Coturnix japonica: one gene and its partner. The protein of the gene in region 2 interacts with the protein of the main gene of each other region in a pairwise test. Links are inferred from orthologs where the notes say so. Each region holds a gene or a part of one and is shown on either strand. Other genes may lie near its edges.

What was found.
Region 1: the proteins of ABL1 (region 2) and MSH5 interact in binary tests that used the Homo sapiens proteins (3 or more experiments, as listed by UniProt). The link is inferred for Coturnix japonica from reciprocal best matches to the Homo sapiens genes ABL1 and MSH5.

Annotation. Positions count from the first base shown.
Region 1 is NC_029518.1:52,063,791-52,079,324, reverse strand, and holds MSH5 (mutS protein homolog 5), read right to left. Parts: upstream 8,213-15,534; 5' UTR 8,124-8,212; intron 7,362-8,123; 5' UTR 7,361-7,361; coding exon 4,931-7,360; 3' UTR 4,511-4,930; intron 3,342-4,510; 3' UTR 3,288-3,341; intron 3,023-3,287; 3' UTR 2,901-3,022; exon of another isoform or gene 2,601-2,900; 3' UTR 2,291-2,600; downstream 1-2,290. Other genes in the region: AKAP7 (A-kinase anchoring protein 7), read left to right, coding at 1,120-1,232, 10,410-10,554.
Region 2 is NC_029532.1:4,610,725-4,625,798, forward strand, and holds the end of ABL1 (tyrosine-protein kinase ABL1), read left to right. Parts: intron 1-2,721; coding exon 2,722-2,806; intron 2,807-3,170; coding exon 3,171-3,348; intron 3,349-5,629; coding exon 5,630-5,814; intron 5,815-7,854; coding exon 7,855-8,007; intron 8,008-8,592; coding exon 8,593-8,682; intron 8,683-8,922; coding exon 8,923-9,087; intron 9,088-11,593; coding exon 11,594-13,293; 3' UTR 13,294-15,048; downstream 15,049-15,074. UniProt on the Homo sapiens protein: Non-receptor tyrosine-protein kinase that plays a role in many key processes linked to cell growth and survival such as cytoskeleton remodeling in response to extracellular stimuli, cell motility and adhesion, receptor endocytosis, autophagy, DNA damage response and apoptosis.

The DNA of each region.
Region 1 (15,534 bases), on a different chromosome or scaffold from region 2:
TGTGTGCACAGCTGCATAATAGCTTAGCAGGGATTCAGTGCAAACATAGAAATGTTTCCCACAGACACAAAATAATACAGGCAGGTAAGCTGATCTTGTGTATAGCCTCATATCTATAGACAGATAGCAGACTGAGATACATAGATGCATAGATCTATAGTATATCTATAGATAGTGTGCCCAGGTGGCCAAGAAGGCCAATGACATCCTGGCTTGTATCAGGACTGGTGTGGTGAGCAGGACTAGGGAAGTCATCCTGCCCCTGTACTCAGCATTGGTGAGGCCTCACCTTGAGTACTGTGTTCAGTTTTGGGCACCTCAGTTCAAAAAGGACATGGACTGGAGCAGGTCCAGAGAAGGGCAACGAGGCTTGGAAAATCAGCCCTATGAGGAGAGGATGAGGGAGCTGGGGCTGTTTAGTCTGGAGAAGAGAAGGCTGAGGGGAGACCTGATTGCTCTCTTCCAGTATCTGAAGGGTGCTTACAGTGAGAGTGGGGCAGGTCTCTTCTCACAGGTGACAGGTGACAGGAAGAGGGAAAATGGCTTCAAGTTGTGCCAAGGTAAGTTAAGGTTGGATGTTAGGAAAAACTTCTTTACAGAAAGGGTTGTTAAACACTGGGATAGGCTGCCCAGGGAGGTGGTTGCGTCACTGTCCCTGGATGTGTTTAAGAGCCATTTGGATGTGGTGCTCAGAGATATGATTTAGCAGAGGGATGTTAGAGTTAAGGTACTATGGTTAGGCTGTGGTTGGACTTGATGATCTTTGAAGTCTTTTCCAGCCTGGTAATTCTATGATTCTATGATTCTGTGTTTTTAAAGATAGAAAATTATGTTATTTCTTTATAGTTTTCCTGAAGTTTGCAAAACTCTTTTCAGTGAGAATAACTCCTGGACTGTTTTAATCTGATGGCAAAAGAAGACAGCACTGACTGCTATTTAATTGCCATTATTTTACTAATGCCAGATTTGTGAGGCCTATTGATAGAAATCTCTCTGCCTTTCGATGCTTCCCCCCCCCCATATTGGCATGGTTGTGATTCACACTACAGTCAGAAACACACTTCTAAGCATTCTGTGGTATAATTTCTGAGTTCCGCTACATTTCTCTTCCCCCTTCAGAGACTATGAGGAAGATATTTCAAGAAAAGGGCATCTTGGCAGGAGAAGAAAGAGCTTTTAAGCCCCATCTGACCTTTATGAAGTTGTCAAAATCAACACAACTACGTAAGCAGGTGAGCTCACATTTCATATAGCTCAGCAGCAATCTAGAAAGTTTAATTTATAGATGAACGAAGGAGTTGCTTATGCTATAGCATCACAGTTTTTACATCTTTGTACCCAGCTGAAGAGGTAAGACTTTAAAATACAGGTATATTAGAAGGAATTATTAGTACATCTACTGTGTAAAAAGTAGTGCTATACTGTACTGTAGGTTAATGCTCTGGATATTCTCATTACAGTAAAATCATAGCCTGTTTTATTTTGTGAAACTATGCAAAGCCAAAAGATGGAATTACTTGTTCAAAATTACAGAATTAGAACTATAGTGTAGATTACATAGTTAGAAATGCTGTCACCGTATTTATATGCTGCTTGTGTGGATATTGTTTGGTTCCCCTTTGGGAGAAAATAAGCAAATAAACAGGGGAATTCATATGTTGATTATGCATGATTTGCAGGCTAACATTTCTCTTGATTGAATATGTTTTGGTGAATTACACACTAGTGATGAAATCATAGTATCATATTCTCTTGCCGGTATCTATTTCTTGCCCATTTATTAGCTTTTTTGACAAGAAAAAGTAGACAAACATAGAAATAAGTTACAATATCTATGAGAAATATAGAGAAGCAATAATAGGTTGTCTAGCTTTTTATTTCACACTAACTTAACAGTAAATTATTATTAACATAAGATATATCTCCATAAGATTTCTTTGCTAGCATTGCAATAAAATGTTTTATGTAACCTTTCAACATTGGCCAGGAAAGTAATTTTCAGAAGAAATATTTTCTAAAACTATGTACATAGTATAATTATTGTCAGTTGATTTAGCAAGCATTAAAGTACTTTATTCATTAGAAAAAAAAACCTATAAAATACGAAAGGTGAAGATCTTAATCAAGGAATATTCTGAAATCAGCCGGAAGATGAAATGAGTTCTGAGATACATGAAGTAGCTTCAGGGACATGACATAATGCAGAGTTGCTCTGAAGCAAAATAAGGACTTGTCAGCCAGTTGTAGGTGGTGTGTTGTAGCTCATAAAATCGTAGGCTGAAGCTTTTGCTTGTTATAACAGCTGCTTTTAAAAATATTCTAAAAATCCACAGCTTTTGCAGAATATCAGCTGCTCATCAATGTAACTGTTTTGTTAAAATATCTCAGATCTTCAAGGTGCTTTTTTGCCAGTCTGTTGTTTCTTTCTTTCTTTCTTTCTTTCTTGTTTCTTTAAAGCATTCATCTACCTTGCATGAAGTATTGGCCAGGATACATATTTTCTGTGTTCTGATATTCACAGCTACTGACAGAACCGGGTCGGTGTCATTTCGAATAATCTTCCTTGGTCCTCCATAATACTGGATAATACACGTAGTATTCTATAGATTTAGAAAGATATTATGTATTGAAAATCTGTAAATTAACAGGAAGCATCGTCAGTCAATCCACTGGCATTAGCATCAGTCTTCTCTATCATTTTGAGTTTAATTGTGAAACATCTGAAGAAAGCAGCTTTCCACTTTGAAGTCGCAGCATTAAGCTGAACATAGACAAGATGATAAATGTAAAAACAAAACAAAAAGCACAACCTTGGAAATAGAAATTAATAAAGGATAACATTTCAGATAAAGTGGATAAGGGAGGAGATGTCTGAGTGTCCACTCAGCTTCTCAGGTTACCTTCTTATCTGCTCAGAAGTGGAGAAACTCATTCTTTACATTTAGTTTGACAGTCCTGAAATTAAATGTGCCATGGAAAACTTCCCCAGGTTAAGCAGGCACAGTGTTTCTTTGGGTGTTCTCTGGAACGAGACAAAGGGAGATAACTGACTTGCACATGCTTAGTTGTTTCACAGCTGACTTGGGTGATAATACTGGGTTAGTATCATTATCTTCTGTACAAAGAACAACTGAACACAGTGAAAGAAGTAACTTGAGTTTTGCACTTAATAATAACCTTTCTATTCCTCCTTCCCTCACTATCCTGCTACATTGCTGTAGGTCAGTCACGACCCCTCTGTTTTTCATTCATCTGCTATTTATTTCAGGGAGTGTTGTGAGGCTCACCTGATAAATGCTGCATAACATCCAGAAATCCTTTAGTACGTATTGCTGTCTGAACTGCAAATATGATGAAATGAATTTTATTAGCAGATGACTGACAGTTACACTGCTCAGATGGCATCTGGTTAATTAAAAAGCTGTATATCCTTAGTCCAGGCATAGGCTGACAAGAAAGTATTCAAAAAATATAACTTAAGAATATTTAACATACGATATTCCTCTATGCAGCACATATTTAGAATGCAGTATGTGTATTTAATAAAGGATAATATATTTGTGAGAAAAATCTGTAAACAGCACTAGTAAGTATAGTCCATGGCTGTTCACTGCTACCATTCAACTTCAGCGGTAATATCCCCAAGATGTCAGATATTATTTTGCAGGTAGTGTTATTATGATCACACTGAAAGCAGCAGTCATTTACTCTTGTATTTTTCATGTAATGTATGTTAAACATTTGTCACTATCCTAGTTTCTTTAGAGATAACAAAAGTTACTTATTTTGTACTATCATAAATGCACACCATAAAAGGAGGAAATTCTGCACTGAGCCTGCACTGAACTGTTTCTGATTTCAGATCTTTTTGGTGGACACTCACATTTACCTCACTGTCTTCAGTGAAATATACCAAACAGATAAAATGTTTAGTACCAGTAATTATGAATATAACTATTTTTTTTCCTTATATAATTTTTCTCTCTTGAAATAGTGGTAGTGGAATCTTGTCTTCTTGAAAACAAGTAGAGCAGAAGTGAGATCCAATATATCTGCTGATTATCTCTGATTAGCAATATTGTTAGCAGTTACTGCAAGCTTTGGCAGTCAATCAGATATCTAATGTCTTTCTGTCTTACTTAGATAATGAATCTAAGGCATTTATGCTACTGCAGGGAAGGTTATTACTTTTGTGGTAACTGTATATCATGCCTTCTCTTTATTCACTTGTTCGTGAATATGTGTTGCATACATACTCAGAAATAACAGAAAAATTATTCTCAATAAAACCAAAGTGTTTCTCTTTTAGTCAAACCCCACTGTTTCTGACTTCCATTCTTTTTATATCAACTCTTGGAGTTTCTCTGCCATTATGGCCAGAAATGCAGCTTTATTAAATGTCACAGAGCTCATTAGATCCTTCTGTATTTCCATTAATCAGAGTCTACTTTAGTGGTTTGTATTGTAGCAACGTTATTTGCTGATCTGGGAGTCCAAGGCACATACTTACTGTGATCGTTTGGTGATGATCCTAAAATGACCGAAATGATTACTTCCACTGTACACAAAACAATAAACACTTTGTTTTTATAGTCTCACGAGACCAGCAGAACTATTTCGATTTTTCTACAGTATTTTTCCAGTCTGAGAATCCAACAATAGGGGCTCAAAATGCACGATCCAACAGCTGGAAGAGGTTCTTGAATTCTCTCTCCTCTTTCAGTCTTCCTGCTTTCATACCATGCACCATACAGAGATATATAGCTTCCATACTGATTTTAGACAGGAATAAGAAATAGCATGCACTATAGACAGTTTTAAAAAGTAAAATGTAGTGTGATACATTAGTCATAGTCATTGTTGAAATTACCAAACCACCCTACTGAACATGGCAGATAACTTGTAATATATGCCTATAGACATAGCCATGCTACAGAATTGAGGCTGCAGAAGGCAACACCTCTTTATGCATGAACTCTTCTAAGTTCACATTAGGATCATCAAGATCTAGGCTAAGAAACCTTTCAACAACAGCCTTGCATTTTTCCATCTGGTCTCCTTTGGCAGGATGATCAATACGTTTGATAGCTTTTCCATTGCGAATCAGTTCTGACACTTCCACTCCTCTTTCAATAATTTTGGCTGGCATTCCAGCTAGTGCAGCAATGTTGGCAGCATGACTAACAGTGGATACTCCTTGTTTGATCTGATAGAAAAACACCAACTCATCTCCATCTTGGTGGGTCTCCATGGCCAGATATTCCAGAAGAGGTGTGTCAGGCAAGAGTTCCAGCTGCATTAAGCTGTGAAAATTAGTGGAGACAAAGACCTGCGGACACTGGGTTCCTTGATTGATCCAATACTTCAGCACAGCAGCCAGAAGGGCCAGGCCATCTAGTGTGTTGGTTCCCTTGCCAAACTCATCAATAAGTACCAATGACCTCTCTGTAGCGTTGTTTACTGCCTTGGCAACCTGGTTAAGATCAATCATGAATGTGGAGAGTCCTACAGAAACTGATTCCCTAGTGTGGATTCTTGTGTAAATCCCATCAATTGCTCCTATCTCTGCCTCTGCTGCAGGCACGTAACTGCCGATTAGAGCCATAAATATTATAAGACCTACTTGCTTTAGGTAGATGCTCTTTCCAGACGAGTTGGGCCCAGTGATTATCTTTATTCGTCTGGTAGCCTCACCACTGTTCACAGGATTAGCCACAAATGTCTTTGCACATAGTTCCATCAGTGGATGTCTTCCGTCCTTGATGTGGAAGCCATGGCGCTGTGTAAAGCGTGGCCGGCAGTAAGAGTTCTCCCGGGCCATCACTGCCAAAGCCAACAGCACATCTAGGTGTGCAGTATACTCGATCACGCTGTTAAGCACTTCAGACCTCTCCAAGATCTTTGTCTGCAGCTGGTGCATAATAAGTGTTTCCTGGTCTCTTATCTCACAGTGCAAGTCACCCAGCAGGCTGTCTAGCTCCTTAGTTCTAGCACTTCTGTAGTGCAGTTTATCCTCGGACAAGAACATGAAGTCCAAGCCTTCAATTTCAAAGTCGCTTTTATCCACCATACTTGGTAGCCGTGGAATGGAGAGAAGGAACCCAATCAAAGGAATGTAGATCACACAACAGGAAGGAATATGGCTGTCCAACGTTTCCAGTTCTTTTTGTGCCACCTCAGTCAGAAAGTCTGACAGACCCATTAGCCTTCGCTTCTTTTCATCAATGGTGGGATCCACGTTGGGTCTAACAGTGAAGCGATTTTGTGAGACACTGCCTTCAAAGTCCACCACTTTGCTGATTAGACTAGCAATGTATTGCAGATCATCAGTGAAGACACGTGAAATAGTCTGAAAGAGTTCGATACTATGGGGAAGAGAGCGACATGTGTCTCTAAGGCACAGTGCACTATACACTGTTTTATAGAGTGCTTGCCAGTCGCTAACTTTCGTATGGGATAGAGTCATTCTTTTTAGAATAAGAGGCACATTTTTTATATTCCTGAGGCAATCCTGAAGGGTAAGGACTGTTTCATGGTTCTGAGCCAACAGGAAGAAGTGGATCACATCCAGCCTTTTATTTAGTTCTGTCAAGTTCCGAGTAGGTCGCGTAAGCCACAGCCTCAAAAGTTTTTCTCCCCGTTTGCACCTACAGCGATTTAAAATCCCATATAAACTGAATCCTTCCTTTAATCCACTAGAAAGCTTATACACAGAAGGATGGATATCACTTTTGAATATCTGCAGGACACAGTAAGTGTCTTGGTCTATATTCACAGTTTCTGACAGCACAAACTTTCTAAAGGCCAAAACAGGAACTACAATACTGCTTTCTTCCAATTCAACTCCAACCCTTCTCCTGTCCAGGTACTTAAGGAGCCCCCCTAATGCTCTGATCACGAGTGGGCTCTCAAAAGGGATGACTGAGGACAAATAAAGAATTTTTTCTGTAGCAGTCATATGGGATGGGATAAATGGAAATTGTCTAGATAGGATTCGTTGCTTGCTGACTTCCAGGCCAAAATCTATGTTAGGAAACAGGACAATTTCTATTTTTCCTTTATTGCTGTCACTGTCTGCTAGGTTGGTCAGGAAATTGGCAATATTCTGGTCCTGTTTTGCACTTGTCACTATGCATTTGGGATGAACTTCCCCAGTCACTTTTTGTAGTAGCTCGAGGCCTTCATTATCAGGTGTGTCAGGCATGAAGTAAACTGAGCAGTCTTCTGTATCATAGTAGGCGACTGCAAACTCCCCTGCATACCACAAGACAGACATATGTGTCTCAGAACACTCTTGCTCCTCTTCTTCAGGTGCAAGCAGTGGTGGCAAGGGGCAACTCGTGGCTGCTGTGGCACTCATTCTGTTGGAGAACAAAATTGTTATTCACAGCTCATCCAGAATATCCTGAGATCTAATTTTAATTGACAACAAGTTAATACTCATTATTCCAGGCCTGCAGAAACTAAGATGCTAACAGAAATTAAGGCCTGGTGTTACCAGTTCAGGTGAAAAGATGCAGCCAGTAACTATAGATGCATCTTGCTTTTAAGGAGACTGTAACTGAGCTACTAACAGCAATGTTGGAATCATATTATAGTGTTTTTTTCACGTGACTATTTTTTTTCTTAGGAAGTACTGTCACACCCTTTGAAGCTTTTGCAATGTTCACTGCACCATTCTGCTACAATCCACAGTGTGAGAAACTAAACCACCTTTAGGCACTGAGCTCAGAAGCTCAGACATAACAGGTATAACTTAAAGAATACCTGTCTTTAGGTTGTGTAGATTGGGATTAGGTCAGAGAGGCTGCAGAGACTCTGGTTTAGGAGATACTCAAACCCTGATGTTGTGATCCAGTGCAACCTGCTGCAGGCTACTGCTCTGAGCTAGGTTGATTGCTAGAGGTCCTTCCCAACCTCAGCAACTCTGATCTGCACCCAGCATTTCACTGAAGTGAGCTGTGCAGCTTTACCATATGCAAGCACAAGTACCCATAAATACAGTAGCGTACTCACACAAATGTACGTGCATACAAAACCATCTGCCCACAGAGGGAGGCCCACCCACACTGACCACAGTGCCTTACAAGACACAACCACATGGAATGGTCAGCTGGGCCTACCTGGGTATTTATGCATCTCCTTCTTCAGGAAGTGCCAATTTCTGTGCAAGTAGATGAAGGGATCAGCCAGTCTCCCCTACAGAGGCTACAGTCACAGTCAGCTCTCTGCCTCCAGCTCTTCTCCTCCTTACTCTCCACGCATCCTCCTCTCTCACCGTAGGACAGCTCACTGCAGCCGTGTGAAGGCCGCGACTTCCATCTCGGCCTCTTTCCCTTAGCCGGGCAGGAGTTTGGCTCCCGGCCTGTCAAGGAGGCCCCGCGCCGGGGCCGAACCGCTCCACTGTGCCCGCAGCGCCGCCGCTGGTCGCTGGGCTGGCAGCCCGGCCCTGTCCCGGTGCTGTGCGGGCCCTTCGCACGGCCGCGCCTCGCCACAGGCCTCTGCTCCCTGTGGTGCTGCCCAGGGGCCGGGTGTTTTCTGCCTCCCCACTGAGCACCGAAGTACGGCATATCATCGTAATCAAGTGTCTGTAGCTTTACCATGTGGGAACAGTTCCTCTTCTCCACTGATCCATACACACGTTTGTGTAAATGAATCATGACCTGCATTGTTACATTGTTTTGTCATCAGCTGCTCCAACTCACTACAAATATCATTCAGTTTTCCAAATATCTTCCAGTAATGTCTCAACAGCAAAACTCAGTTCCTGGCCATTTAGCATTTGATTCACTCATGACCGATCTGTTTTTGACAAGCACCATCCCAGCCCCTTGTGAAAGCTGTTTCTTATTGGAGCATGATGATCGTGATTTCTTCCATTGATCTCTCCCTCATTTTCTTCACCGAGTACTTGAGGCTTCACATTTTGACAAGAATCCTCCTGGCTGAAAAGGTCTTTCTTTAAATTACTGATGGAAGACTAAGCGTATTTCAAAGAACTGTCAGTCAGAGAGCACCAATTGATGATTTAGATTCAAAATAACGTTAGTATCTAAGAACTAATTTAGCCATAGAATATCATATTTTAAATAACAAATGAGTTTGGAATACACTTAGACTTGCAAGGAGATTGTGCACCCTAAATAGAAAACATGTACCACTAGATGTCATCATTTCAGAGATTAAGGAACTGGAAAGACATTTCTGACCTTGTTGAACAAGACTTCAAATGATAGAACCACATGTTCAGGTACTTAGAGAAACAAGGTTCTCCTGAAGTGAATTTTCATTGAAATAAAAACTGAGTAAAAATGCCTCCAATGAGCACATATTGCATGTGAGTAACTGTGAAGGGATTGCAAGAAATGAGTATGTGTACTGCTCGGATGAATGGATATAGTATAAAGCGATGTGGAAGCAGAGAGCATCTGTCTGTTTTAGGGCATCTGGTGGAGGACCTTTTCAGTGTGGAAGGGGATAATGAGAAAAGGAGAAAGCCAAAAACAGTGGCATATAGAGACACAAGCCTGACTAATGTGACTAAGGAGACAGCAACAAGAGCTAAACCTAGTCAGTCACAGTGATTGCTCTGAGTGTGTGGAGTATGGGAATACTTATTTCCATCAGATTGCCTAATAGAAGGCCTTGTCAAATGGGGTGATAAGGGGAAGAGGGAGGCCATAAACAAAACATGTAGAGACACAAAGCTGTCAGGCAAATGTAACACAAGTGAAACCAAGATGCAAACCTTGACAATGACACTAATTGGTGGGCTGCTAGGAAAGTACAGGCAAAACAGGACATTGCAACTGTTGGTTGTGTAAACCTTGAGAGTCCAGGATATTAAGAGAGTTGGCAGGACTGCAGACTGATGGAGGAATGTGCAGGTGAAGGGGAGAAACAAAGGACAGCAGCAAGTGCATCCATCACAGAGCCTATGTCCCTACAGCGCCAAGTCTGTTAGAAAAAAATATCAACCAGTACATTTTTTCCTGTTTGATGACATTGAAAACAACAAACTGCCCTTGACAAACATTTGAGATTTTTCTCTGTGATAACCTGCCTGGTGCTGATATGGAGAATAATTTACAGTTACATGTTCCATGAAGACTCTTGCAAACCATTTGAAATTAAAGCACTTGCCGTGTTGTGTATGCTACATGACTGAAGAGGGATGAGTAGAAAGGAGGTGTAATGACATTTTTAATCCTTTGTTTAAGTTCTGTAGTAGATAACTGCTTAGCTGAAACAGAATATTTGGCACAGCATTGGTTTAGTACTCTTCTTTCCTTTGGAAGCAAATTTCCATTCTAACAATATCTCTGGTTAAAATGAAAACTATAGGCATAAATGTGAAAATTCAGTCTTCTAGCAGAATCTGCAATTGAACTTTATATTAATATTTAAAGGTGAAAAAAATTGACTCGAGCCTTTACGAAGATTATAAAAGCCATTATTTTGGAGCTGAAATCCTGCATCGCTTTGATCTTTGCTCTATGTTGAAAAAGAAGCAACCCAACGGCTACTACTACTGTGAGTCCTCTGTTTTTCTTGGTAAGTACATCTTCATTTTCCTCTTTTATCAATGATGTCTATAATTTATCTATGATAAAAGCCATTCTTTCTGCACTGTATGTTTGGAAATTTTTGCAATAATATCTATGGAGTCTGACAGAAGTCTGTCCTTCAAGTCTTCGCTCTCCAGGCTCTCCAGGTACACTGTGTAGTGCTTCCTGATGACAACTAAAGCTTGTGGTTAACCATCCATCCCCTGTTCCATTCCTTATTTTAAAATGAGTGAGGGCTGCTCTTCTCTCTCTTGACTACAAAGGCAGTGCATGTAACCAAATTTGATTAGGCACAGTAATTACAGATGATGAAAGATAAGTGAAATGTCTCTGGTATGGGAGAGATGTGACCTCACTTACTCATATCTTGAGAGAATGTAAATGGTATAACAAACTTAATAGCTTCTCAGAGTACCATCAGTACTTCTGAAGTTGTACAGATACCTTGTGTAGATCATTTCAATGCCAGAAATTACATTTGTGTATTTGAACTTTCACATCTCAGTAGTTATTCTATGCATGACTTGTTACTTTTGCCACAAATCATATATAGCTGGCACTTCAAGTAGTATGCACGGAAGGTCTATGCACCGAGAGTCTATGGGATAAAAGCTCTGTCATAAACCTTTGTTAGTTCCCACTAGCTGATGGTAGAGCTTGGTTGAGACTGCTGTTAGTCATATCAGGAACATGACTTTAAATAGTCTAAGTGAAGACCTAGAAAATCTTTTGGATATTTACTTAAACACAGTCAACTCTTTCAACCTAGGTATGTACTGTGTAAATTATTATCTTGAAAGACACCATTCCCACACTTTGGAGGTCTTTAATGGGATGACAGGCAAGTAGTCATAGAGCAAAATTAAATTTTTTAATATTAACTGTAATTTTCCCCCCTTTCCTAATTAGGCAGGATCTTTATTTGTGCTGGGTCAGATGTGAATCTTAGAAGAGGTTTATAACAGAGATCATGGTCTTAGAAGGTCAACTTATGCTTCTTCTTTGTATACCGTTGATTTTATATTCTGGGTCATGTCAGTTTTAATGTAGTGGTGCTGGAAGACATGGAATACTGACATTCATGCCAAAAGCTCATGTGAAAACTTAACTTTGTATTTTCTTTAGAATGAGAAAATCAGAAATAGAGCAGAACTCTGTTTTGCATGTTGTTAATGAGCGGTGGTTCCTTTCCAACAAGAACATGGGCAGTCTTAAAAAAATGTTATTCAATCAAAGTCTTCATTTTGACATACTCAAGGAAAAAGAGTACATCTGTTCTTGTGCAGTTCCTCTAACAAGAAGAAAGAAATATAAAACATCTTTTACAGGTGTCCTCAACAACAAAATGCTTACTTAAAGACTACGATAAACTAATTTTCATATACATTGCAGCATTTTCCAGAGTTCTGGTAATAAGCAGAAATATTCTTAACAAAAATTGACCAGGGGGATATCAAACAAGCAAGTCAGTGGATATAACCTTTCCAACTTAAAAACATCCTAGCATTATTAATGAAAATATTCATGACCAAGGAATGATGGAATCCTCAGAAAGAGAGAATAAAATGTACATTAGGAAAATCTTTCAAGACTGCTGTCATCCCTTCTAGCTCAAACATCTTCATTGTAAGCAGTTCGAAAGGAAAGCCATAACTTCATATTTAAGGACCAAGAAATCTTAAAAAGAAGAAAAATTCTGCATATTCTGAAGATGCATCCTTAAAGACTAAGAAATTGTAATAAGATGGGAACTTTGCAAAGGTAGTGTGTCCATTCATCCTCAAATTCTGTAAAAAGGCACAGTGAGCAAAAAAGAAAACTGCTGATACAGGCATCTTTTCTGTCTGAGATGATTTCAGTGGAAAGCTACAACAACATAAGGCTTGAAATGGACAGAAATACATGGGATTAATTCATTATACTCCATTTTTTTCCCTAACAAAGACTATTATTTCATCACCATAAAAACTACACTGCGTTTGTATGCCTCATCTGCTGTTTTCCACCTACTCTTCAATTTCTGAAGTTGTTAATACTTCATGCTATGTCAAAACTAACCCTGTAGTGGAGAAGACAAAGGGCGTTTATGAGCAGCTACTACCATCTATTCAGTATCTGTTGTTTGGAGTAGATTTGCATAAACACTGCTACTAAAAGGTAGTGTTGTTTCCTGTACCCCATGTAGGGTGTGGTTGGTAACCGGCTTTGTGCCTTGTGGTACCTTGTTTCCCTATCCTCCAACACTGATGGTGGAAGTTCTTACTGGTCCTCAGGTCTGTCTTGAGTAATTATTATTAAACACAGCGCTTTCAGCACACCAAACACTTTGCAAATCCTAAATGTTATTTCGTGTTAATGTTTTTGTTTGCACTTGGGCCATCTTTGTTTGGATTTCCTGTTACAAAACAAACAGAAAATGTGGTGCAGATTAAAAAAAAATATATAGGATGGCTCTTTGAGTTAGCGACAACAATACTGCAAAGTCCAGATGAGTCAAAACCAAAATTAGATTCATTTATACATCTTTCTCTCTTACTATATGTAATATTTTTTACTTGTGTTATGGATGATTTATAGCTATGTCTATGTGTATATATCTCTCTAATACATAGGCATATGTTTGCACATCCAATTAGGTACTTATATATATTCAAATACTTAGAAAAAGGGAAGGTAAAAGATTATTTACCATGGTACAACATTTTCAACAGCCCGTAAACTGCTGACAGGATTAAAGTAAGGTTCAGCTACTCACAAATATCCTTCAGAATGTTTTGGAATTTGTATCTGATTAAGGAATGTGGTAAATAGCTCATTACAGATAAAAGCTCTTTAGAAGTATATTTGGTAGATATTGACAATATTATTTGGTATATTTATTTAAATCTCTGTACTTGTTGAACTTTTTGTGTTTGCAGCTTTTCAGAATGCTAAAATGAGACAGTCTTTCAGCTTTTGAGTATGTGTCTCATTAAATGTTTCTTAACAGCAGTGAATCAACTGGTATTCAAAGCAAGAATCAGATGCTTCTTTGGCTTTAACTGAGTTGCAACGTGATAATGCTGAAGGAATTTATGGGAAGTGTAATTTTCACAATCTGAACAGAATTCTCTCAATTGCTTTTATATGAGTACTGCATTTGGCTTTTTCTAGCTGTAATATTTGGGTATAGAATCATAGAATCGCCAAGCTTGGAAAAGACCTAAAAGATCATCCAGTCCAACCTTTCACCTATTACTAATAGCTTCCACCACTAAACCATGTCCCTCAACACAACATCCAATCGTTCCTTGAACACCCCCATGGTCAGTGACTCCACCACCTCCCTGGGCAGTCCATTCCAGTGCCTGACCACCCTTACTGAGAAGTAATATTTCCTAATGTCCAGCCGCAGCTTGAAACCATTCCCTCTGGTCCTATCACTAATGACACGAGAGAAGAAGCTGATCCCCAGCTCACTACAACCTCCCTTCAGGAAGTTATACAGAGCAATAAGGTCTCCCTTGAGCCTCCTCTTCTCCAGGCTGAGCATTCCCAGCTCCTTCAGCCGCTCCTCATATGGCCTGTTCTCCAGACCCCTCACCAGCTTTGTTGCCCTCCTTTGAACGTGTCCCAGGGCCTCAATGTCTTTTTTGCAGTGAGGGTAGATGTTCTTCAGTGACATGACATTAAGAAAATGGAGCTTTCTGATCCCCACTTTCCTCAGGCCCTCAGAGGGTCGATGCATCTTTCCAACATATATGCATCTTGCTTTTCTAGTTTTGTGTACATTAATACTTAGTTATCTAAAGGCAACAGTAGAGGAAAAATGGCTACATTTGAACAGAGTTCAAGACAATGTTTAATTTCAGAGAAGGAGGAACTATTTCAGTGAATTTTGAAAAAATCAGTATTTTAAGTATTTTTATATGTTTTAGAATATTATTTGAATAGGGGCTTTTGTTAATGTAGGTAGCTATGGCATTCAGATAGACGTGGGAGGGAATCAATGCAGTTCTATCAATGCATCAGAAATAGAAAAACTAACAAATTACAGACGGGAGCTATACCCAGCCCCTGTTCTTTCTGCAAACATGCACTCAAGCACTTCTGTTTTTCCTCAAAGTGCACAGAAAATGCCAAAGCAGTATTTACTTTTTGCTTCGTAGAGCTTGGCCAAATTTCAAGTTTCTGCATCTAATAAGATGAAAAGATCTAAAAAAGGGTCAGATGTAATGTTGGAAGAGAAATACAAATCGATGCTCAATAAAGGACTGCATACTGTCATTGCTATTGCTAAGAAATGCCACAACGCATACCAGGCTGGTAGCTGCACATTAAAAAAAAAAACACTTAAAAATAAAGGAAGCATTAAAGCTTGATAAAGACAGAGCTGGAACACCTGCTGAGATTTAACAGTATGCACAGCAGGTGAACAAGCTTTGATGGTATGTTACGGAGAAACATCCAATATCTTTAGCATAGATTATGGACACGTGCACCAGTTTTCTCTGCATCTGCATGTTAGCCCCACAGGGTATGTATTCAGAAGTTAGAATTTGATGTGACGGTGACAATGGGGTTGAAGCTTCATTCTCAAAGCAGAGATCAGTTTATTCTTTAAAGCAAATAGAACAGCCGGCCAGCACAAAGTGCTCCTGCAGACAACTCACTATGACACCTGTTGTATATCACCTCAAATCTGAAAGAACAGTGAATGCTGCACTGAGGTGAGCTTCTTGATATGTACTCCCTTAGCGGAATGATGGGTCAGTTCTTTATGTCACAGTAGAGATGTTCAGTTGCCATCTGGTCATCAAAGGGTTCATTATTACATTTTCTTATGTTAAGCATGACTTTGATATTAAGTATCCTGCTTAAATATTTTTCAAGATCTGTATATTAAGATTTTTGTAGACTTTTGTTTTGAAGAAAATGTATTTACAGTAATAAAATATAAAATTAAATTATATATACATCAAAGGAA
Region 2 (15,074 bases):
GGGCTCCCCAGTGGAGAAGAGCAGAAGCAGCAGCTTACACAGGCAGCGGGTGACACCTAGTGTTAGGGCCACCGCACGGGGACTGCGGGGCTGCTCTGAGCACTGTGCAATGGGACCAGGCTGTGAGCAGGGCGAGCAGAGTCCACACCATACATGAGAAAGACAAATTGCTTCCCGGTGCGTTCAGTTTGCTGCAGCATCTTCTTTCTGCTTTCTGGCTTTGATGTGAGGATCCCAGATGTCTCTTGTCCCTCATCTATACCAGAGTATCATTGTTGCATTCCTGTACCATCTCTCTAAAACCCATCGAGAAAGGCAAATGACGCATTGTGCCATCAAATCTCTGTTTGCGCGTCGGAGAAACCTCAATACAGACCATGACTGTTGCGAATACATCAAATAAATATTTAATGAAACATGACTGAAAGTGGTTCATAATGTAATATGGAACAGCGTGTGCCACTGGGGAATGCAGGAATAACCAAAAAGAGAGTTAAGAAACACTTCAGTCTGCAATTATGCACACTAAAACCATCCTTAAAAGCAAATTTATACTCCACCTTCTTTTAATCCATCAGTCTCCTGCCTGACAGGTGGGGTTATAGCTCCCTTCAAAGTTGTGGGAAATATTTAACAATCACATTTATATTCTGGTTCTACATGGGAAAACAAGCTCTCAGCAGCTTCTGCACCAACATTCAAGTGACTCGCTTCATTTTCTGCCAGGGAATGTTATTTTACAACTTCATACAGTTCTCCTTGTTCCTTCCCTGTCTGTTCCAGAAGAAGGATGGAAGGGAGGGAGGGTTGAAGGCACTGTAAATCCATGCAGTTTGTGTTGTCGAGCTGTACTCAGGAGCACCCATTTGTTGTTCAGTTCTCTGTCGTGTCCAGTCGTAGCTCACAGCTACACAGAGCCTGGATCACACCAGAAGACAAATGCAGCATGCCCTGTTTTTCAGTCTCATGTAACTGGCAAGTGCAAGGCAACGTGTTGGGGCTTAGATGGTTCCCATTGGAATGTTCCAATTGGAAACCCAGCGAGCTGCACAGGATGCAGCAGGATTTCAGAGGGTCTGCTGCCATGACATGGCATGCTCTGTTTGCTTTTTTGCTTCTGATTCTGTTGGAAAGGGGCAGGAGAGCTGCAGGGACTGGGCTGGAGCATCATGCCTGTCTTGTTCTGCAGCCTGCTGTGCTTGTACCCCCAACTCAGTTCCTTGGGAGGGCTATTCAGTGGTTGAGCCACTGAGAGCTGCCCAGCTTATTTTAATGCTTATTTTTGACCCCAGCAATGCTTATTTTTGAGCCCTGCTGTCCCTTAGTGAGGTTTGTACAAGTCCAGGTTGAGCCATTGTCCTGTTTGGTTGAGAAAATACCGTATTGCTGGAAGTGTTTTATTTATCTTGTGGTTTTGTGCAACAGAAGATGGAAATTGATAAAAAAAAAACTGTGCCATCAGAGTTTCAGGGAAATCATTGTTACTGTAATTCTCTGCATGCATCCTTCCTATTAATTTGGTCAGTGAGAGGCGATAGATTTAAAACCACGGAGCAGCAATGCAGAGAAACAGCCTTGTGCAGGCTGCAAAGCATACAGAAGATAAGTGCGTGTTTAGGGTCATTTTGCAACCTGGATTATTAACCCGGTTTCCTTTGCCAAAGAAAATGGTTTACAGTTCTGTTCCTCAGGACCTTTGGGTGATTCGTTTTGACAGAGCGTGTTCAGAAAAACACAGCTGCCAATCAAGCTAATTGGCAACGAATAGCGAATGATGGATTGAAGCTGTTTGAAAGAGGCTCTCATCGCTAACTGCAGAGCAGAGTGCTGGCTGGATCTTACAGCAGCAGCCCACTGTTATCATTCTCACCAGCAGCAGTAAATCCTTTCCAATCCTTCCTTAAAACACTTCGTCCATGTAGGCTGTCAACATTAATCCACCAATGGAAAAAAAAAATATGGATTTAGAAAGAAACATTGCTTTAGGAATGGATCTGTATTTTTGCACCACTTTGAAATGACCTTCGGGCCGTGGGGGTATATTTGCTTCAGAATCTGTATCTTCTGAGCAAGATCGTATCTTCCTCAGCTTTCTGTCTTGCCAAGCAACTTTATGGGTGCTCAACAAATAGGTAGTGACACATCTGCCCAGACCCATTGCGTCATGGGTCAGGCTCTAAATGCCAGGGATGAGATCTGTGAAACCTCAGGCTCTCAATCCCCCCCACCATCAGCCGTGCTTCTCTCTGCAGTGGGGTTTCCTCGCTTAGACCCACTAAAATCAGGGGTTTGCATCTCAGCAGTTGCTCAGACCTTTGCTCGGTTGTAGCCTTCCTTTTGATTTTCTTCTTGTTTCATTTCTTTCCGTGCTGTTGATTTCGTGTGGGGTTTCTTTTTTCTTGTTAGGAACAGGCGCTCTGAGCTTTTTCCTTTTCAACTCCTGAGTGGTCCTGTGAGAGGCCCTTCACAAAAGGGATATGGATTTTCTCACCCCCCAAAAAAAGCTCCCTTACAATAAGAAAGATAAAAATGTGTTTTTAAAAACCCTACAAGAAAAAGCCCCAACAAAACAAAAAACGTTCCTCACTCCCTGGCTTTGTGATGTGGCTACAGGGAAAAACTGCCTTGAAAGAACTGTGGCTGGTGCTGTCACTTTGCAGTTCTTTTTGTGCCCTCCTCTGTGCACGCTGTCCTTGCCAAAGCTTTGCTATTGTTCTGCAGGAGGATACCATGGAGGTGGAAGAGTTCTTGAAAGAAGCTGCAGTAATGAAGGAGATCAAGCATCCGAACTTGGTGCAATTATTAGGTAAGTGATAAATACCAAGCAGGGGGATTTGAACTAAACCCTTGTGCAGTGATATGGATGTTAAGGAGCAGATAAGCTGCTTACCATACCAAGGCTTTAAATACAGGCACTTATTGTCTGGCAGAATTCACAATTTGTACCGGTAATACATGATTTTTAATGATCTCGTCTCCCTAACGTTTTAAGTTGCCAGAGCCTGAAGCAGGAAATTAAAATCCTCTATTAACCAGTTCCAAGCAAAACTCATTCTCTGTACAATCCCCCCTCTTTGCAGCCATTAGAGATATATGTTGCCTGGGATGACAGCCTGGAAGAGTCACTGATACTCTCAAATGTTCATAGGAAACTTTATCTTGGTCCATAGGGGTGTGCACACGGGAACCTCCTTTCTACATCATTACGGAGTTCATGACATATGGGAATCTGCTGGATTATCTACGTGAGTGCAACAGGCAGGAGGTCAATGCAGTGGTGCTGCTGTACATGGCAACCCAGATCTCTTCAGCCATGGAGTACCTGGAGAAGAAAAACTTCATCCACAGGTACGAAGGGCACCGAGTGCTCCTGAATCTCAAGCACAAAACACCACCTGATGTATTTTGAGGTTGTCGTGGCCTTCCCTTCAGCTGCAGCCCCTATCTACTGTATTCTGATGCAGTATGTTGACCTGTTTATAGGATGGTCTTCTAATGGTTTTCCTCCATTTTTTTCCCTTTTTTGAAGCAGATGTAGGTTAAAGATGTATCAGTGCTTTTACAGTTTGATCAAACGCTTTAAATATAAATGCTTCCTCAAGTAACAGGTTCTTAGTGGCTCACATAGGCCTCTTTGTTGATTTCAACAGCCATTAAAGGCTGCTGCAGATGGGTGACACTGCTGGGTGCTCACAGCAAAGCCACCCTCTTAGTGCCGTCTCACCCTGTGTCCATTCTTGTTTATCTCACACTTTTCCTCCTCTGCAGAGATTATTGTCCACCATTGTCCAGATTATTTGACTTTAATAAGTATCTTTGCAACCTTAAAGTCCCAAAGACTCTGACCTTTAAGTGTGCTGCAATTATGACCAGAGCTTTGCATTCTTTGTCTGTAGGAGCGACCTCCTAGCAATATAATGACACATCCTGTGCGAGGGATGAGAGCTGCTGAGTTCAATACAAGATGTTCTCTGTGCCACAGTGTGACCTTTCCTGCCCAATTAGCTAGAATATAGAATTAGCACATGTTTTTTTATAGAGGGAAATATGAAGATCGCGTGTAAAGTTCTAGGTGTTCCTCAGACATGCCTTGCTTTTTGCTGCCTGAAAGAGCTGTTTAAATGCTTCTGTCAGTCATTGAAGCAAACGGTGATGCTGCAATTAAAATTTCCACCCTTTGAATTGCTCTGTTGAAAGTATTCCATCCCTTCTGCCTGTAGGAAGTGAGCTTTAAAATCTGCCTTGTATGAATCCCGTTCGTCTGCTCTCCCGTTCGTTTCAATTCATCTTATTTCTGATGACCCATTTATCTAAAATAAATAGTAGCGTTTTTCCTTATCAGCCACCCCCACACCCACCTACCCAATTATTTTAAGAGTGTTGTCACCATTCACATCCGTAGATTCAAATGCTGGGCTGTGACCTCATTTAATGAATCAGGAAGGAGGAGGAATTTGATTATGAAGAGGAGCTTTTATTTAGACATACATTGTAGTAATCAGAATTGATAAGGAGATACATTCAAAAACATTGTGAAAATATAATGGGCATCTAGTAAGGTGTACTTTTTCCCCCCCTTAATTTATTCCCATTGAGCAGAACAAGCAAAAGAAACAGCAGAGTCTGCCTCCTATCTAAAGAAGATCTCACCTTTTCTGGTAGAATCAATTTTTAGTTCAATGTAACATAATCTGAAAAAGTGCTTTTAATGAAACCTGGTATTAGGAGAAATGTATTTCTGTGCTTTACATTTCTATGCAGTGCTGAGGGTGCTGGCAGCATGTTTGAGCCGGGGGGGTGGTAAATGCAACGTGTGCATCTCTCACCTGCCAAGGTGAAAAAACAGAGGAAAAGCTCAGTCTGCTGATCATCCAGTCTACTGAAAACAGAAGTACTGATAACAGAGGCCGGGGTAGTTTGAGAAGGGCAAAACCTCTCGTGTTTGAAGAGTAGGGCTGAAAGGGTAAGAAGAAACTGCTGTCCTGCAGCTGCCCACACAGGCTTTGTTCTGCCTCCTCACTAGGCAGCTGGGGTTGCTGCTTTTGTGGGTGCTGTCATTGAGTCGTCTGTATGGTCACCAATGACTTTTTTAGGGGGGAGGGTGGTAGAAAACATGGTGCTGTAAGATATGTGATACTTGGGAGGGAGGAGGGCACAGCTGGGAGTTAAAGCTGCCTCTGAGCAGGGACTGGGAGAGGAGTTCTGAAGGGTGAACGGTGGTGATTGGGTTGATGGAGGTGTTAGAAAGGTGGGCAAGAAGGGGAGGCACTGCGACGTCTTTAATTCAGCGCTCATCCTCAGCTATTGATAACTTGAGCACTGACATTTCTTTACATTATTTTTATCCTGAGGGTGGCAGCTTTTATTGAAAGTGAGGGGGTTCTTGGAGCTTTCATTTTGCATTTAAAAAAAAAAAAAAAAAGAAGTTGGGCTGACAGTCTTACAAAGCCGGAATGGAAAATAACTTTCCCTCTTCCATGTGTGTGCAGAGCTGCATAATTTCTGTGTAATACCCTGATCAGAATAATCACGTGCAGGCCCAGGCTTCTTTGGGAACAGCAAATTTCCTCTCTCTTGCTAGAAGTGAGAGGACAGACTTCTCATTGCTTGGTTTTGTTCTTGTTTTTAGGGACCTCGCTGCCAGAAACTGCCTGGTAGGGGAGAACCACTTGGTGAAGGTGGCAGACTTTGGCCTGAGCAGGTTGATGACAGGTGACACGTACACTGCCCACGCTGGGGCCAAATTCCCCATCAAATGGACGGCACCAGAGAGCCTGGCCTACAACAAGTTCTCCATTAAGTCTGATGTCTGGGGTAAGAATTTGCATGAACAAATTAATTCAGATTATGGTCTTTTACAACCTTCGTTTCCAGGGCTGTGAAATGAGGATGCTGTGAAATGTTTCAGGAGAGAGCAATGCTCCCTGCTCTGAGCTGTGTTGTATCAGAGTGCAGGAATTAATCTCTGCCAAGTCGGTCTTGGAGTGGAGAAGTGAGGCTGCAGACCTGGCTTTACGTGTTTGAGTCATTGACAAGTATGAAAACAAAGGACACTGTGGTGTTTATAGAGTTGTATGAAATGGGGCTGGAGGGCAGCCGTGCTGCTGACTTGATGGAGCTCTGGCACAGAACTGTGAAGCAATATATTGCTTTATCGCCAGGAACTTTCAAACTACTTTAAGGAGAAAAGTGAGGATCTGGTTCATTTTATGTTAAAAAATTATGTGTGTATCTGTCTGTCTGGTGATAGCTCCGAGCTCGTCTTTCTGCATTTTAAAAGAATAATCTTTGGAATGAGATGAGCAGAAACAGAGAGAAAATTTGATGACAAATGGTTATTGAAGAGCCCTGAGGTGCTGGTGATAAGACTGGGCTTAGCTAAATGGAGCTAAATTCTATGAAATCTGACTGCAGAAAAATCTCATTCTACTTCTTTTTTTATCGGCCTTTCTTTGGGTTTTATATCTCTTCCATAGCTATTGGTCAGATCCTCAAAAGTGCCCGGTGATACACGATAGAAGTTTGCAGGACTTCATCCCAGGGGTACATTGAAAACATTACCCTGAGCATCTCCTATGTGTTTAAAAGATCAGACGGTGGTGGAGCAGCAGTGAAGTTCTCTGGAGTTTTGAGGAGACGGTGCAGAGAGAGGCTTTATTTTGAAGGAACTCTTAGAGCACGGCTGATCCAAAACGTTTTAGCGATGAGGGAGCTGAGCTAAGCTTTTCTTCTGCTCCGAGCTGCTGTGTGACACTGCTGGCCGCGCCGGGTGGCTGCGGGGAGCCCTTGTACTTCAGTAGTGGAGTGCTCTGGGAAGAAAGATCTGAAAGGGATATTGGGTATCTTTAATTAGGGTTGGTGTGACCTTGCAGAGTGACAGTCAGAGCGGTGGACTTTGGGATCTGATCAGAGCAAGCTGGCTGTCCCCAGAGGTCACGGCTGCTGCTGGCCATGCCAGGGTTTAGATGCTTTTCACCTCGCTGCCTCCAGACAGAAATCAAAGAAAATTGTGCACAGAAATGTCTAATGTAAATTGCCCTTGGTGGTGTTACCATGTAATGTGATGTGATTTCCTTACTTATGCAGAATTGTAATCGCTTTCTCTTCAGTTTAAGACCAGAATAGGGTGACTGAACCAATTACATGCAGGTTGTTGAACTGGTGTTGAGTCTATTCTGCATGGCTGACTCCTGGGTTAGCTGCCCGACCCCGGTGCTGACCTGCATCCCCGCTGAGTCTGGGGACTTGAATGCCTCTCCTGTTTAAAGAACCTCTTTGTGCTCTCCCCTTTTCTGCTCAGCTTTCCCCATGACCAAAATGTCTCATGCAGACTTGGTCTCATTGGTAGCAACTACTGAATATCTCTCACCAGCGGGACCCCCTCTTCCCTTCCAGTCTGCAGCTAAACAAGGGCACCCCAAAAAACACTGAGCTATTAAAACACGCGAGTCCTCTAGGGAGAGACTGCAGATGAGAGGAGCTGTCAAACTGGGAGAGAGACTGCAGTGCTGCAGTGAAACAGTTTCAGCTAATCCACTGTGAAGTCTCTTAATTGTGCCTTTAATAGGACTTGAAGGATCTCAAGGCGTTCAGGTTTGAGACAACTGATACATTCAAAATTAGTCTAATTCTATTCTGTCATATCGCAGGAGACTTGTCTGTGCTGACGAAGGGGCTTGTTCCACTGCTTTAACATTGAAGCTAACACTGAGCATGGAGTCTGAGCCACTCAGAGCTGGTTTAAGTGTGCAGCACTGTTTAGCGACTACTCCCACTAAATGTCTCCTCAAATTTAAGATGAAAATAAAGTTTGTTGATTTTAGTTTGTTTGTTTTATTTTTCTACCCACTGCAGCCTTTGGTGTTCTGCTATGGGAAATTGCAACCTATGGCATGTCCCCTTACCCTGGGATTGACCTGTCTCAAGTCTATGAGCTGCTGGAGAAGGACTACAGGATGGAGCGCCCTGAAGGCTGTCCTGAGAAAGTGTATGAGCTCATGAGAGCATGTAAGTGTTCTTCAGCCTTGCAAATGCCATTACTGCTTTGTAGCTCTTCAGCAATGCAATGAACGTGGCCAGATCTGGTCACATCCAGCCAGATACAAGAAACTCTCTGTTGGTTCTAGTGAAGACGCAGTGCTGTGTGGAGATGCTTGGTTAGAGCTGCTTTCCCCAGAGGATGGAAGCACTATGAAACCAGCCATTCTTCCCTGCTGGGAGCTCGTAGGCCTTGGGGAGAGATTTGCTGTTTTTTTTCTCCTTTTCCCTGACTGCTTACAGATAAACTTGTGCTGCAGGGGTGAGGCAGGAGTCTGGTAGGCTTCTTAAGGGAGTAGGTGTTGCTTTTCCTCTGTGGCCTCTTGGTACGTGACTTGTTATGTGGTATTTTTCCTTCCCGAGATGTTCCATGCCTGCCCTTACTTTGGCTCAGTGGTGGTTACAGATGCCCAGCACCATTCACACCAAGTTTCCATGCTGGTGTTTTCTTTTGGCCATTTAATAAAAAGGGTTCTGTGATAGTTGGCACCTCCTCGTGTACTGTGATGGGTGTGTAATGCTGGTAGGAAGTTCTCAGTGCCGGTGTTTTTGCAGGCTGGCAGTGGAGCCCCTCTGACAGGCCTTCCTTCGCTGAGATCCATCAGGCGTTTGAGACGATGTTTCAGGAGTCCAGCATATCAGATGGTAAGTCTGGGTCCCTTTGGGGCTGGCAGTTCCAGGGACAAGGGATGCCTGTGTCCTGAACTCTGCACGTAGCTCAACAAGGGCACGTGTCTAACTATAAATAGCCAAATGGCTGACCAGCCCTAAGGATCTCCCTCTTTGTGCTGTTTCATTTGTTTTGTGCAATTAACTCGGAGCAGTGCTCTGGTTTTTTTATATTCTATGTATTACAGTAATCTTTTTTTCTTGTGTGCATTGCAGAGGTGGAGAAGGAATTGGGAAAGAAGGGCATGAGGAGTGTAGTGAGCAATTTCCTTCAGGCCCCAGAGTTACCAACCAAGACACGAACATCGAGGAGAGCTGCTGAAAGCAAAGATGCGAATGAGAGCTTGGAGACTGCACACGCTCGAGGCCAAGGGGAATGTGGTAGGTTTTAATTAAAGTCATTATTCCTTCAGGAAATAATAGGAAAAACAAAAGGCATGCTCAGGTCTTTGCTTAGGAAAAGCCATGTCTGAAAACAGGTGCCATCTTTATGTATCAGCATTGTATTTCTGGGTGACAGGCTGCTAAGTTTGCCTTCCTGCTTTCAGAACTCCTTTCATCATTTATTACAGAAAGGCAGGCTGTTAATCTTGGGACCAGATACAAACATAGAGCATCTGGGAGTGTGAATCCATAGCTGGCTGAGCAGTTGGCGCTATACCTGCCGTTGCTTAGAGAATTCCTTGGAGTTCTTTTAACTTAATGGCAATTGCCTACAGCTCCCTATAGACAAGAGCCTGAGCACAGCTCTCTGGTCACATTCTCTTCCCATTCCCTGGTAGGAGCTATCAGAGGGATCTCCCACTACATCTGAGCACTGGGTAATCTGCGGTGTTCAAGCCTCTTTACTACCACACTGCATAATTTAGAGCAGCACGATTGCTCAGGTTTAGCAAGCCCCATAAGGGAGGTTTCTTCACTGTTCCATCACACCAGTTTTGTGCTTGGAGCACTGAAGAGTATTACTCTTGGCAGGTACCAAATATAATTGCAGCAAGGGACAAAGAGGTATTTACAGAATCTTCCATGAAATTAAACTCTATTCAGTCTGTTTCTCCAAGCATTTCTCTTCCATTCTGAGGTAATGAACGCAGTGCTGAGGCACTGAATGTATACAGTAGATTCGTATCCAGTTTGCTTGAAAAACAGCAAGATAAAAACAAAATGCAGTGTGTGATAAACACGCCCTGTCTGACCATTCCTGTGAGTGACCTTTTCTGGATGACGCCAGACTCACCTAGTGGTACATCTTTCAGTAGCAAATGTACATCTCGATAAAGAAAGGGGAAAACACACACACAAAAGGGAGTGTAAAATGCTGGAAAAGTGACGGTGACTGAAACAGGAAAGAAAGTTATTCACAGAATGTACTGATTTCTGAATTGACTTGTTTGCTAATGAAAATAACAAAGAGCCTTCTGTTTCTATTGGAAAAAGATTTGAATAGTGAGCTCACTATTTTTGTTATAACTTAATTAATGCAATGTAGTGTTAAAGACCGATGGCAAATCCAGCCCGCTGTATACAGGAGGTATAATTGCCTAGTTTTGTAAGCTTTGAAGTAAAATAACTTCATTTAAATACTTAAGGACTTTGAGAGATTCAAGTGCAGCAGGAACAATATGATTTTAACATTATGCTGGGTATTATTTCAGTCTTTATTGTGGAAAAACACATATTTCCTATAGATGTTTCATTGCAATTTCCTGTTTAGTTGTCAGTGTTCTCATAGTCCAGTGGCTGGAAGCTGGTCCTTAATGAAAGCTACTAGTTTTCCCTGGGTCTCCAAAGCCCCACTGTGTCTGAACAGCACTGTCTGAAGTGCTGTAGGAGCTCTGCTGGTTTGTTGAGGTCTGCCTCAGTTTACATGTGAATGGTTCAGTGGCACTTAGTCCTTTGGAATCATACTCTTTTCCCTATGTACCAAACTGTTTTTCTTCTGACTCCTTCCTCAACCAAAATCCTACCCTCAGCATGATGATCACCAGTATGTGACTGAGAAGCAGCCTTCTTTTGATCTATGTGTCTGCTTCGTCTCCCTTCTTACTACCTACTTGAGCTCTAAATGTATATGCTGCCCTAAAGGCATTGCTCTCTTGAATTAGCATGCCATCTGAGTGCCTGGCCTGGAATGAGACCCCCAGTCAGTCAAATACAGAGACATGCAGGACCCAGCATAAATTTATTATAAACCACTATTCATTTTTAAATACCTCTTGTAAGTGGAGAAAGGGTCACCCCACTGTTTTCTTCTGGAGCAATCCTGCTGAAGGAGGCTGTTATTCCCACTTCCCTCCACTACTGTGCTAAGCTGGTGATCTTTCTGGTGATGTGACCTGAGGCATTCAGCTGCCAAGGGATGTCTTGGTTTTGCTTGTGAAAGAGTTATTTCCATTCCCTATGAAGAGCGACGTCAGGGAAGGAGGTTAGGAGTATCAGAAGCTAAAAGAACAAGGGTGGATTACATAGATTTCTTATTAATTCGGAGGGTCAGACGTTCTAAAGGCAGCAACCTCACAGGGACCAAAAGAAGCAGCATCATTGTATTTATCTTCTTCTCAGTACGAAGTTCAGACAAGTCTCTAGATGCAAGGATGGGAATCTGAACATAAACAGTTTGTGTTTGTATATTGCTGTTTAAATCAGAAGCCTACAGGGAATGTAGTTTGGCAGCCAAGTCTGGCCACCTCACAGGTGAGTGTGTGGAGGATTAAGGATCACATTCAGTCTGGGCTTCTGTGTAGCTGTACTTGAATTATTCCTGGTGGTTTTCTTTTCAGAACCTGCACCTTTTTTGGAGGTGCTGAAATGGTTTAGATCGTGGAAGAAAGCAGCTTGTCCTGGGTACTGAAGCAAAGCTCAGTAGTCTCTTCTCTTTCCCTTGCAGACCCTCTGGACCACGAACCTGCTATTTCTCCTCTGCTGCCACGGAAGGAGAGAGTGGCCCTGGAGAGCAGTTTGAATGAAGATGAGAGGCTGCTTCCAAAAGACAAAAAGCCCAACCTCTTCAGTGCCCTTATCAAGAAGAAGAAGAAGACTGCCCCCACCCCTCCAAAGCGGAGCAGCTCCTTCCGAGAGATGGACGGCCACTCGGACCGCAGGGTGGGTGGGGAGGAGGAGTGCAGGGATGCTGGCAATGGAGCTTTCGTTGCTCCTCCCACAGAAGCAGCCGACCCCTCTAAGTTTCAAACCCCAAGCAATGGGGCCGGTGTCACCAACGGGGTTGTTGCTGGGAACTCTGGGTTTTTGTCTCCCCACTTACGGAAGAAGTCCAGCACAATGAGCAGCAGCCGGGGGGTGTCTGGGGAGGAGGAGAGCAGTTCCAACTCCAGCAAGCGTTTCTTAAGGTCCTGCTCAGCCTCCTGTGTGCCCCACGGTGCAAAGGACACGGAGTGGAAATCAGTGACTCTGCCCCGGGATCTGCAGTCCACAGGACGCCAGTTTGATTCCTCCACTTTTGGGGGGCACAAAAGTGAAAAGCCAGCACTGCCTCGAAAGCGGGCAAATGAGACCAAGACTGACATTGCTGTCAGGGGGACAGTGACCCCCCCTCCACGGCTGCTTAAGAAAAATGAAGAGACCACTGATGATGTGTTCAAAGATGCGGAGTCAAGTCCTGGCTCCAGCCCTCCCACTCTGACTCCAAAACTTGGCCGTAGGCAACCCGCCGTCCCCCCCTCCTCCAGCGTGCTGCACAAGGACGATGGAGTCAAATCCAGTGCCTTAGGTACCACTGCGACAATGGACCAAGGTTCTGCTGCCAAACCCAACTCTGCTGCATTTGCAGGTGCCAGCAAAGCTTCTGTTGAGGAGCCGCGGCTCAGGAGGCTCAAGCAGACCTCTGAGTTGGCAGGGAAGGACAAAGGGAAGTTATCAAAGCTGAAGCCAGCCCCTCCAGTTCCACTGTCCTCATCCTCTGTTGGCAAGCCTGGAAAAGTATCTCACAGTCCCAGCCATGAAGCAGCAGCAGATGTGGTGTCTGGTCCTAAATCCAAACAGTTGACTCAGGTTGCAGATGCTGTGAGCAGTGAAGCTGTCAAGCCAAACCAGTCGGGGGAAGGTGTGAAAAAGCTCGGGATCCCTTCTGTACCAAAGCCGCAGTCCTCTACAAAGCTGCTGATGAGCACAGCAACCTCAGCTGCCTCTTCCTCATCTGTCCCCTCTGCCCCAGGGGGGGACCAGCCATCATCTACAGCCTTCATCCCTCTCATATCCACCAGGGTCTCTCTGCGGAAGACCCGTCAGCCCCCAGAGAGGATTGCCAGCGGCACCATCACTAAGGGGGTGGTGCTGGAAAGCACCGAGGCTCTACGGCTCGCCATTAGCAAGAACTCAGAACAAATGGCGAGCCACAGCACTGTCCTGGAGGCCGGCAAGAACCTCTACACCTTCTGTGTGAGCTACGTGGACTCCATTCAGCAGATGAGGAACAAATTTGCCTTTCGGGAGGCCATCAATAAGCTGGAGAACAACCTGCGGGAGCTTCAGATCTGTCCGGCGACGGCTGGCAGCGGCTCTGCGGCCACGCAGGACTTTAGCAAACTGCTCAGTTCCGTCAAGGAAATCAGCGACATCGTTCAGAGGTAGCAGAAACCAGGTTGGGAAAGAATAATAAAGTCACAGTGGGCCAAAGTCAACTGTGGAGAGATTGAACAGCATGTGTGGACTGACCAAGGACTGGGGCGTTTGGGTTCGGGCTGTGCAAAGACGCACAGACTGTTGATGGATGCCCCAGCTCCAAAGAGCAGGGCTGTGTTCAAGAGGCACTTTCCACCCTCTTAGCCCAGATTCCCTGTGTTTCATATACTTGTAATCGTCTTATCTGTGGAGTTCCTGCCTTGTGGACTACAAGTCTAAGTGCTGATGTCACGTCATGCCTTTTGATTAATATTTTATTGTTCTGGACTAAACGTTAAGGCTGAAGCCGGACTGATGGACACTGAGATGCCATCCTCCTCAGGAGGACTTCCTACTGCGTTCTGCCCCACTGTACACACGGCTGAGTGTCTGAATAGCAATATTTCCTATTGCATTTCTTGGGAGAGCTGCAGCGTGCATCCCTTGCCTGAGTCTGACATTGAACCTGGCAGTAATGCGATAGATTTGGAGCCTGAGAGAGGAAGGAGGGGAGGGGGGGGGAAGTTGTTAATGTAACTTTGAGAAATGATAGAATGCTACCAGTGGTGTTCACTCACATTCTTCCTATGATCCCACCTGCTGCCCTTTATATCAATGTTTTCAGCCTTTCCTTGATGCTGTTGAGCCCAGTTGAGCTGCCTGGGTTCAAACCCTTCCGGACAGCACCCACTGATGCAGCAGCATTTGCAGATCCCCCACGGTAGCACTTGAGGGCTGGCAGAGGGCTGAAGGAGGACGCTGCTGCTGCTATTCAGGCTGGTGCTTGGGGCAGGGGGTGACAGAGGAGGTGTGGGAGCATCATCAGGCTGTGCTGAGCAAAGCATCGCTCCGTGGGTGACAGGAGGGGATAGCTTGGGCCGACTTCAAAGATACCACTGTGCCTGCAGCAGTGTCTTCAGTTGAGCTTGCCCGTCACAGATGGGCAAGAACTGCTGTTTCTCTAGTTGTATTTGCAGCCTTTTCTGTTCTGTGGGCCTGGTTCCTGTGCTCCTTTGAGAGCGCTGCCCTACCCTTGATGTGCCAGTGCCAGCTCCCTGTGGAGAGCTCGATGCCGGTACTTTGGGGTTGGAACTGTCATTGCCTTCATGGCTGCGTGGCTGCACCCATCGTATGAGGTTCTGTGAAGATGGCAGCCTCTTTTGGTGGATCTCCCAAGGAAACGGCCCCAAAATGCTGACAGCAGGGTGGATGGGCTTCCTGCCCACGGCCCTGTAACCTTCCCAACTGATGCAACATGACTGGGGACTAACTGTGACCTGTGACAATAGTGAAAAAGCAAAGTTTAGGGCTATTAACAGTGCAATTTAACTCTTCTTAACAGTTCCAAACAAGAGGAAAAAAAAAAAACCTGACATTTTCTACGTCCTGTTTCCCCATAACTCTTGTGGCCCCTCTCGTGTATCTTAAACACTGATTGCCTTCAATTGTATTTTATGCTGTTCTCCTTGGAGCTGACCTTTTGTATATCGTTTCCAGCAGTTCACTCTGTGTGTTCACGCCGTTCCTCGCCCTCACAAACAGCCCTGACTTCAAAAACCCATGGCAAACGTTTAACAGAGAAACCACACACTCCTGCCACAGGCTGCCTTTAAAAACTGTAAGAGAAAACAAAACACCTTGGACTGTCTCTTTTCCTGGAGGTACTGTTTTTACTTTGATAACATATTGTGCCACTATATTATACATTTGTATCTCGTTATTACACACTTTTGTAGGCTCGTTTTTGTTAC